3 linked regions of the Oryzias latipes genome follow. The protein of the gene in region 2 interacts with the protein of the main gene of each other region in a pairwise test. Links are inferred from orthologs where the notes say so. Each region holds a gene or a part of one and is shown on either strand. Other genes may lie near its edges.

The links.
Region 1: the proteins of meox2 (region 2) and chrd interact in binary tests that used the Homo sapiens proteins (3 or more experiments, as listed by UniProt). The two-hybrid records come from large-scale screens. The link is inferred for Oryzias latipes from reciprocal best matches to the Homo sapiens genes MEOX2 and CHRD.
Region 3: the proteins of meox2 (region 2) and unc45a interact in binary tests that used the Homo sapiens proteins (3 or more experiments, as listed by UniProt). The two-hybrid records come from large-scale screens. The link is inferred for Oryzias latipes from reciprocal best matches to the Homo sapiens genes MEOX2 and UNC45A.

Annotation. Positions count from the first base shown.
Region 1 is NC_019871.2:18,974,137-18,977,889, forward strand, and holds the start of chrd (chordin), read right to left. Parts: upstream 2,794-3,753; 5' UTR 2,425-2,793; coding exon 2,280-2,424; intron 1-2,279. UniProt on the Homo sapiens protein: Dorsalizing factor. Key developmental protein that dorsalizes early vertebrate embryonic tissues by binding to ventralizing TGF-beta family bone morphogenetic proteins (BMPs) and sequestering them in latent complexes.
Region 2 is NC_019874.2:31,200,254-31,203,906, forward strand, and holds part of meox2 (homeobox protein MOX-2), read right to left. Parts: intron 975-3,653; coding exon 802-974; intron 1-801. UniProt on the Homo sapiens protein: Mesodermal transcription factor that plays a key role in somitogenesis and somitogenesis and limb muscle differentiation. Required during limb development for normal appendicular muscle formation and for the normal regulation of myogenic genes.
Region 3 is NC_019864.2:22,119,317-22,122,345, forward strand, and holds part of unc45a (protein unc-45 homolog A), read right to left. Parts: intron 2,969-3,029; coding exon 2,797-2,968; intron 2,689-2,796; coding exon 2,388-2,688; intron 1,494-2,387; coding exon 1,399-1,493; intron 1,272-1,398; coding exon 1,130-1,271; intron 998-1,129; coding exon 857-997; intron 726-856; coding exon 598-725; intron 534-597; coding exon 353-533; intron 274-352; coding exon 158-273; intron 1-157.

The sequences.
Region 1 (3,753 bases), on a different chromosome or scaffold from region 2:
TGGCAGATAATATGTGCTTTTTAGCAAAGTAGTCAAAAAGTCAATAGATTTAAAAGAAGCTCTTTTTGTGTGAAAAACAGCAATTGTCATTTTCATTATGTTTAATGCAACCATAGACATAAAACACTCAGGTCTGATCTGAAAGCTAAGGAGTTCTGTTACAGCAGATCAAAACAGCATTTAGTGCCATTATTACTATACTGCAGGCATAATGAGTGTGTGCAGCAGTGAGGTCCTGCAGGACTATAACAGTTATTTCTGCCTGTAAGCTGTGCGTGGGACATAAACGGGGTTTGAAGGCCGGTCCCGCTCGCTGCTGCTGTCAGCCTGGTTCACATTAGGCCTTCATTAGAGCGGCTGCATGCCTTCAGCAGTTCAGCAACCGTCACAGGGAGCCAAGCTGAGCGCCGTCCGCTCCGCCTGCCACTTCTCCCTGCTGGAATGCATCATCTCGGAGGAGCCAGTGCGTGTAATGGAAATTCAATTGATTACAGTTTCCAGCGTTGAGCTGCACAGTGTGAGGCTGTGTTAAACAGGGAGTTCCCGCTGTTCTGAAGCGCGGGAACTGTTACCTTAAACCACAACAAGGGAAAGGACTTTTACACATGAATCCCACCTGAAGGCCCTCGCTGATGCAGACGTTTACGGCTTTCTATAGCCAAAACATGCGCGCCCAGGAGCTTTTATAGAGAAAATGTTCTGATCTGTGGGTCATTTTTTGCAGACTTGGGATTTTTGTTTCTGTCTCACAGGCTTTAGTTAGAAACAACCATCTGCCCCAGTTTTCATGTATAGAAACAAAATAAATTCATGACCATGCCCGTTTACAGGCTGCAATGAGACACCAACAGTCTCACAAAAGCAAGGAGAATTGTCTGCCAAATGCACAGGAGTGTGTGTTTGTGTGTGTGTGTGTGTGTGGGGGGGGGGTTCATTGGCCACCCCCTGACCCTCTCAGAGAACTGCGGTGAGTGAGAGCCCAACCAAGTCAATTTAGTCATCACTTTATGCAATACAGTTTGTTGGAAGGCCACACCCCTACCACTTGAAAGCGGGCTACACAAAATCTGTCATGCATTCTGAGCGTTTGGATGAGGCGGGCAGCAGGCTCCACCTACTTTTATTGAGGCATCTGATTGGTCAGTTAGTAAATTGAATAACTTGAACTACAGAAAAAAATATCACTAAAAAAAGAGAATTATCAAGAACATGTTAAAAAAATGTAGCAGAACAAGAATGGTTACTCTGAGAAGTTAAAATACTGTAATAGCTGTTGTTTTGAACGCCAGGGGGGAACGGTCACTCAGTCCAGTTCTCGTATACAGTCAATGGCCACCCCAACAGAAAAGTGATTTGTGCCTGGTTAAATCCATAAATCAACACCCTCCCCCCACCACCACCAACAACACCACCACCACACAGGGAGAAATGCTAAACAGCTGATTCAGTCAGTTTGTGTTTTTCACTGCAGGCAAAACTAGCTGCACATCAGAGGATGGATGATGGACAGATAAGTGAGACGTCTGTCAGGTTTTCTTCTGAAAAGTCAGGAACACAAAAGTTCTCATGGAGAATGTTCAGTTTAAAAAAGTAAGCGATTGAAGACGGATGTTTCCAGACGTGTTATACTCAACCATCATGAGAATCCTGTTATATATTTTTGCTCTAAAACTTCTTAGAAGACAAATTTTTGGATGCTTTCTGCTGAATCCATCACCAACGAAATACAGAAAGAAAGAAAAAATACATTAGCAATGAAGCATCTATATTTCATATTTTGCCTCTTCACAGTCAAAGCTGTTTAATTCTCCTTAACAAAAGCTCTGGCCCCCCACAAATGTTTTGGACTCCCGCTGCCAGCACAACACATTCAACACCAACATCAAAATACGTAACACTCGCAGCTGCCCTCTTGAGGTCATTCCATGTAAATCTGGTTTAATGCATTCTCCTCTGGTCCTGGAATTCTGTCATCCTGCATGTTTTCCGAACATCCGGGTCCTGTTTGCTGCTAATTACCTGCATCAGGTGTGTTCAGTCAATTAAAACCTTAAACCGTCTGGCTGTTCAGCAGTGATGTGGGACAGCTGGGAAACACGCTGGTGGAGAATCATCAGAAAATCAGAGCTGAAGACCACAGAACCGGACTCGCTTCTGTCATATAACGGATCCATTACCGGACCAGAGAACACACCGGAGCTCCGGTGGTTATGCTCAAGCTTGACGTCAACCTGTCGCCGTCATTTCAACCAGCTTTGCTGAACGTGTGAGGCTTTTACCTTCCAGTTCTTTGGAAGCCAGCGGCTCTCTCTCCGACTGGATGGGCAGAGTTGGAGACTTTAGCCGCGATGCTTGTCCCGCGTGAAGCCACCACGCGCAGCTCAGGACGCACAGCAGGGAGCGGAGCGCGCAGGGAACCAGCATCCCAAATCTCCAGAAAAGGTTCTCCGAAAACGCCTGATTTGATCAAACAAAAAACCAATGACTCCCGCGCGTTTAGAGGCCCCACGTGTGAGTTTCCCTTAAAATATCCAAAAGTTTGAGTCGGGTAGATGTTTTCCGCGCGGAGGCAGTTACTCAAAAGCTGCAGGCTCCTCTCTGAGCCGTCCCTCTCGGTTTTATAGCCTGCCTCGCTGACAGCCTGAAGCAGCCACCGTTAGGGAGGAGGGAAGGGTGGGATGAAAGATGGGTGGGGGTGGGCGATGGAGAGGAAATGGACAGCTCCGTGAGACTTTATAATATGCAAATAGCTCTGCTGAGGAATCGTTTTGCGTTTCAGCAATCATCTCTAAATTTTGACGAAAATGACTCGTACTGCGTAAACCTGGATTTCGGGGGATTCCTCATTCCTGATGTGAGTGATGATGATGAGGACCAAATGTTCGCCTATCGGGCAGATTGTCGTTCGGTCTCCTCATAGATTTATGGCTGCTCTGCTTTGATTTCACACTCTGCAGCCATAAAACCTGAAGGAACACTTGTTGGTTGTGTGGAAGAGCTCACCAAAGTCATCTGACACCCACAGAAAGCGGAGTTCTATGAGCGCTCCTGCCGAGCGAGAGAGTGAATCTCCAGATCATGTACAGTAAGGAATGCGCTCCTTATTTTTTCAACTGGAGCTCAGGCCTAAGTGATTTAACAGTAACAAATGAAAATGTTTGGGATTCTTTGAGACAGATCCGTCTTCTGCCGTTTTTTTCTGCTGTTTTAAGGTTTCTGTGAAGCTCCTGGACGCTGTAGGAAGCCTTATGATTTACGCAACTCATCAGGCATCCCTGGGCATGCGCAGGTGCCAGAAGTTGAGTTTGCTGCCAACGTTAGCCTCACATTATGAGAAAATGCAACATGTCTGGAAAACGTATCCAGCAGAGTGTGGAGCGGGTCAACTTCCATAAGTCTCCTGGTGTGCGTGTGTCTGTGTGTCATTAGTCTTCTTTTTTGACTGATTTATGACAAAGTTCATTATGAACTCATAAGCCCATACCAATACTATGATTATAAAAACATCAGAGACTGTTTTGGGTTTATTCTGGCGCATGAAAGTGCGCCTTGCAGCTGTTATGTTAAAGCATGTGAGCCACCTTACGCAGCCTTAGCAAGGCGGGGGGGGGGGGGGGGGGGGGGATTCACGCGCCTCCATAGCGCCCCTCAACACCAAACCGATGATGGGCTGTTAGCACTCCATCACAGGGTGATAAGCGACACTATTCTCTTCGCTCGGTGATTCATTAAGCAGGCGAGAAGGGAGGCCAG
Region 2 (3,653 bases):
TTTATAAAAATATTCAACATTTTTCAGTAAAATCACTGGGTTATTTCACCCAGAAGAGAAATTTTAAAAAGTGTAAATGATCTCAAATCATATAAAGCTCAAATTTACCTTCATTCTTCAAATAATCCTTAAAGCGTTTCTGATGAATGAAGCTAAAGATTCATAAATAACAGACCCGTCAGAACGGCGTCGACTTGGATCCGTTTCCAGGAAACAAATGCCGATAAAATCATCACAACCTGCTTGTTTTGACTGTTAACTGCAGTTTTGGGAACGATAGAAGAATTTGATTCAAGGATCTACTTTGGAGGAAAAATGTCTCTGATGTTTGTTTGCTGCCAACAAAGAGGAGAAGAAAAAGGTTAGAAACATCTAAGAACACAAATTAAGTCCATTTTGGGACATTTTCTTTGTGGATGTTTTAAGAGTAAATCGGATAAAAACACAAAAGTGGTTGGGATTTGAAAAGCAGCATAAAAAAGCTCAAGTGATATTTTGGGGAGCAGTGGATTTTCCTCTGCCTTTCCTGCAGAAGGTTTCCCGACAACAACAGGTAGTGGGCCGCTTCCTTCCCTGAAGCGATTGTCTGCTGCTCTGGTGTTGGGAAGTGCGAGCTCCACAGAACTTCCCTCCGCCCGAGGGAACATCTGGAACATGAGAGCCCCCGTCCCGTGGCCACATCTGGAGCCCCCAGACGGAGCTACAGAGAGCCAGTCGTCGTCCTGAGGCCAGCTCTGTTTTCACAACACGGCATTAATGTGCTAATGGAGGGAAACCCGGGGGGACCAAGCTGCGACTTACTTGTCTCTCAGTCAGGTCCAGGTTGACGGCGATCTCGTAGCGCCTTAGTCTGGTTAGGTAGTTGTGGTGGGCGAACTCGGCCTCCAGCTCGCGGATCTGCTCCTTGGTGAAGGCCGTCCGCTCCTTCCTGGGTTTGCCGCTGCCGTCAGACTTGTAGTTCCCGTCCTGGGACTCTGAAAGCAGAAAAGGGTCGAGTTGGTATGGGAGCAGATTTACAGAGCTGGGGGGCAGGTGCAGGACAGTGGGGCAAACTAAAAGCACCGGGGAGAGCGGCCTGTCAGTGTTTCCGAATTCTTTCAGCGGCTGGGCGACAGCAGCACATGCGGCGGCGGCCTGCGGCGAGGCCCCCGGCTGCAGGCGGGCCCTCACTCCCAACAGGGATTTGATTTGAAGAATCTGCAGCTTTCATTTCATTAAACTCACTGGTTGTCAGGAAAATCCTCCTTCAGGAGGCGGAATCGTTTCAAACAACAAAAGTGCACAACTCAGGCTGGAGAGTCGCGGTCCCTCCAGCTCTGCAGAAACGCTTTGTGTTGTGGATATTTCCCACAACTTTCCAAAGAAAACACGTTTGGCTTCCAGAACCTTCCAGTTGTGAGCTGCGGTTTGTCTGCTGGATGAGCTTCAAGTGCAGACGGTGGTGGATGGCAGCAGCAACTGCCGGCTAATTCATCTGCGGTCCGGTTCTGTGCGTTACTCCTGCCGTCGGACCTGCAGCTTCTCTGCTGTCTCTGAGATGCAGTCCTCCTCCTGAGATGTTCCGACACTAGACACGTGACTTCCCGGCCTGCCGCTGGCATTCTGGTGACCTTTGACCTTGACTCCATCTCTGAAACTTCTGCTCTCCCCGATTCCCTCAGACACCACCTCAAAAGACCAAAAAAAAAAAAAAATAAGGAAAATCCGGAGCGTAACGCAGCCGCCGAGCAGGGCTGGAGTTACAACCAGCAGAAGGTTTTTATGGCGCAGCCGCTACACCACAGCAATTAGGTCCCTGCTCCAACTTTCATCTTGCCACAAAAAAAGCCGGAATAATTTGAGAAAAACATAGGAAACCCAGACGGGGCATGCCGTTTGGGGACGTGAGGGAAGCTCTTCACACACGACTCCGAGCTTTTCTCCTGCTTTTTCCAGGACAAACGGCTTTTCTTCTCAGACTTGTTTTTTCAGGCATCGGACACTTTCCTGCTGCTCTTTTACGACGATGCCTCCGCAAAGTAAGACTTCAAGCACCTTTTATTGTTCCACAAAAAAATCTGGTAACTTTTTAAAAGCGCCACCACTCCCTTGACAGCTCCATAAACTTGGCTGAGCTGCCCTCCCTCTGCGAGGCCCGAGCCCCCCCCCCCAAAAAAAGGGGGAAAGAGGGGCAGTTTCCCTGAAACTAAATACCACCGACTCATCCGCTCACGCCGCCGCTTCACGGCAGGAAACACCAACAAACGGGTGAAATGGGTTCAACGTGAAGGGACTTCTCAGGTTCTGCTGCATCTAAATTCAGGTTTCACTCCGGTTTCTGGCCCGGACGGTGAAACCCGATGTGAGCAGGGTCTCGTGCGAAGGGTTCTGATATTTAGACAGCTGCCTGAGTCAGCAGCCCGCTCTGACCATCGGCGTGGGGAGAAGCGCGGCGGTGGGATTCAGAGCCCGTAGAACTGGAAAAGGGATCAGGAAGGCCGACCCATAAACGGGATCGCAACACTCAAAGCGATTGAAGACTAAACACAAAAAAACTGTCATGCCGGCTCCTTCTGACTTTCATCTGGACTTCCTGCAGAATAAATGATGGTATAGGATAGAAACCAGATTACTTCCACTGCTGTCAACAGTTGTGAGTTAACTTCTACTACATTCAGGAACAAAGATCTCAGTCACAAACATTTACGGTGTCAATAAAAAATAAAGTGGTTACAGGAGATCCATGGATTTGTCTTTAAAAAGCCTCTTTGACAGCAGGCACAGTGAAAAGCTTTGATTATACTCTTCTGGATGAAATGTCCAGTGGTTTCAGTCTGGATGCTCACAGAAAATCAGAACCTTTGTAGTGACCAATGAAGGTTGAAAGAATCAAAGAAACGTGTCGTCTGCAAAGCTTCAGGACCACGAAGACCAGCGGAAAAAACATCCCTAAACACCCTGACATGAATCCGCTCCGGTTCTGTCTGCGACTACAGCGGAACCGCTCAGCTGATCCCCACAGAGGTTCTCTGAGCCCAAAGAGACGAAGCTCTGACCCACAAATTCAGGAGTTAAACATTTCTCTTGTTTATTTTTTGGTTGATCACAAAGTAATCTTTATATTTTATCCTAATTATCTTATATACTCATTTTGAGTTGCAAAGAAGAAATTAGTCTGAAGTAGTTTTTAGTTAAAAAAAACAAATTTTTTTTAATGTTTTAATTAAAAATGATTTTTAGCCTGAAATAATTCAGAGTGAACTTTTTGAAAATATAATTTTTATTTATTTAATATCTAATATTTAGTCATCTCTTAAATTTATCCCAAACCTCAGTTCATTATTTTGAAATCTCTCCTTCAGTTGTTTTCAGGTTTTTTTGGGGGCGTTTCCTGTTTACGGTCCGTGACAGGAAGTCATTCCTGGGATGGGGTTTTCGATCACGCCGGCAGTCAGATGAGCCCTCATTGTTATCATGTGGCCGTCTGCTTCACGCTTGCAGCCGGGCGCCGCGTCAGCTGACGGCCCTTTGGAGGTGACGAGTGCAGATGTGGCTCTTGGCTCTGCCTGTTTATTTGAGCAGAACGTGTTTAGCAGACGGACCTGCGGAGAATTCGGCTCCAGGTTTTTCCACTCAGAGGCTTATTTTTCCAGGACGGAGGCTTTTGCCGGAAC
Region 3 (3,029 bases), on a different chromosome or scaffold from region 2:
TTCTGCTTCAGGGTCCCCAGGACTTCTTGCTTCACCGCGCACAATAAATTAATACTTTAAATACCTGGATCGACAAACCGTGGGAATAAATGTGTCTATTTTTTAACCAACTGATATGAGCAGTTTTACAGGGGAAGACTTCCCCCTAGTGGCCAACCTGAGTCTTTCACTGATGCCAGCCAGGTTGGTGAGTGCCATTAGTGCTTCAAAATTCTGCAGCAGGGTGCAATTGAGGCTCAAAAGGCTCACAAGTGGACGCACGACTTCATAGATCTGAGGGGAAAAATGAGGTTTGCAAAGTGAAATAAATATCTCAAAGAAAGTTGTTTGCATTACTATCTCCCATTCTTACCCTCTCTCCTGGAAAAGCAATCTCTGGATTGGATGTGATGGCAATTTTTGCCAGGGCTTGTGCAGCTTTGACTTTTCCTGCATCTGTGTTTTCGGTTGCGAGTGGAATCAGAGCTTTCCCTCCACCTTGGGCCACCACGGTTCCCCTGTCTTCCTGCCGTTCTACCAAAGCCAAGAACACCCTGCCAAGGACACGTGACGTTAAGCAACAGAGAGGGGGGTCAAACACACATTTTCCTTCCTTACCTGGAAATACACTCTTTACAAGCCTCAGTGAGGGCAGGACTCTCTTGTTTAACCATGCAGGCCAATGCAGATACAACTCCAGCTTCAAGGAGCTTAACCAGCCTTTTCTCCACATAAGAAGGTGCATCCTGACACATAAAGGGTAAGGACAGTCAATTAAAACTCCTGCAAAGTCCGATTCATATTCTATTTGATTATTAAGGATGGATTTTTCTGGCAGATCTACAAAATAAGGCAACACAAAAATGAAGAATCCTACTTTGGGGTGCTCCTCAGGCACATGCTGCTTTGCATACTTGGCAAGCTCCACCATCTGGGGGTCTGGTTTCTCTACTTCATAGCTGTTTGTGCAGTTCACTAATGTAGAGCCCACAGCGAAGAGCACAGTCTTATCTTCAGACTGCACAACCACAAAAAAAACAACAACAACAACACATTTTTCAGCCACCATCCAAAACAAGGTTTCATTTTTAGATTTCTTCTCTTCTGTTTGGTAACTATTTAGAGAAACTAATAAAATAAACAGGTAAACCTTTGCCAGTTCAAACATGGCCGTGAGAGCGTGCTTGTCCTCCACCAAGTCTTCCTTTACATCAGCATCAAAAGTCAGGTAAGCGAGCCCTTCCACAGACCAGCGGCGGGAGGTTGGAGGTAGAGACTCGTTACACAGCCACCTAACAGAGGAGAAAAGTGAGGCCAACTCCAAGTCTGTATCACTTCACTGCAGTCATGTCAACAAGTCAGAAATGATCACATTTTTTTAATTGAATTCCAGGTTCGGATTAGAGCATGGAAACCTACTTCCTGCACTGCTTGGCAAGTTTGCCCGTGGATCCTTCTGCAAACTGCTTCATGCTGAAATCTGTGCCTCCTGCTGACCCAAGCTTGCACAGACCCTGCGATAACATTAAATGATTAGTTTTATCTGTGACCAGAGGAATGCACAACTCTGTGGAAGCACGTTTATGCCACAAAGGTGGCTTTAAACATTTAGAGACTGAGATTTTTTTAAATGAATTATAGATTGAAACTTTTGAATTTTTAATAGGTTGAATTATTTTTGGAAAGCCCCTCAACTAAGGGTTCAAAAAATAAATGATGGCGCACTTCCTGGTTGTAACAACAACACTTGCCTGACATAATACACTGGGTAAAGGTTCAGCATAAAAAAAACAATTAGCTGGAAGCCAAAGTTTGCAAAGAAAAATAAGAGTTTACTGTTCTGTGTGGACCAAAGAATTGATTCTTCTAGTCTTATTTTTAACTTAAATGTTTCTAAGGAGAAGGGTCTAAATATTTGACTAACACACTGGTGGTGTATAAACCCAGGAGACCACAACGCTCGCAAGAAAAGAGGCTGCCTTTGCTGCTCAAAGTTTATAAATAAATAGTGGGATGGTAATTTTTAGCCTGAATGCAGCTCAACTTTGATGCCAACAAACCTGATGGTTTTAGAAATAAAGCATTCATCGCAGTTTTTTTTCGTGTCAACTTAAAACCCAGCTCTGTAAGAAAGTCTTATACGTACTTTTAAATACATTTAGTATCGTATAATAGTGTTCATCGTATTGAATTTAACACTTTCATCTTTCATCTTTCAAGTTTGACGTTTCTCAAAGAATTTTTCTTTTATTACTTGAATTGCTGGGTTGCCATGGATATCTCTGAGGCATTTTGAGATCGTATTGTTCAAAAAAGTTGCTAAATAAATAAAGTCGCCTTAAAAGATTAGCCTGCGGAGAGCTTCCTTTCACTAAGCAGTACTACTTCCCTCTATATGAAGCACTTACCACCAGGGCTCTCACGCGTATCCTGTCATTCTCGCTGGTCTTGTAGAGGTCTTTCAGAAGAGCCACGCCATTGGCTGTGATAAAGGAGGCCCTCTTGGCTTTGCCCGCCGCGTGTATGAGAGCTTCGACTGCTATTTGCTGGTGAGTAACATCTTTGGAGGCACAGAGCGAGATCACTGCATCCATCATTCCGGACATTTCTAGAGTTCGGTTTCCCACATCGCTTGGCCCTTGAAGGAGCACAGACACCGTTTGGATGGCGCGCAGCTTTGCATCTAGAGCAGACTGGCTAAAATGTTGCCTAACCACACAAAAAAGGAAAAATGTTTCAGACACTTAAGAATAACTTTTGCTTAAACTAAATAAAGAGCCAAAAGTTAGTGGAAAGTGAAATATGTGTTTGGCTCACTGAATGTATTCTTCACATATTTTGTTAAAGTTCTCCCTCTCTTTGTCACTCTTCAGGTCATCGTAGAGTTTGCTAAGCAACACAGAGCAGCTCATGTGAGTGTTGTCCGTAAGAGGTGGTCCATCTGAGAGTTCAGGAATGCTTCCGGCAACCTGCAGGATTTTCTTCAGCCCTGCAAGACAGCAAAGTGTGCTTTAATGTGCAATGGAGTGCAGAAAAATCACTTGCCTATA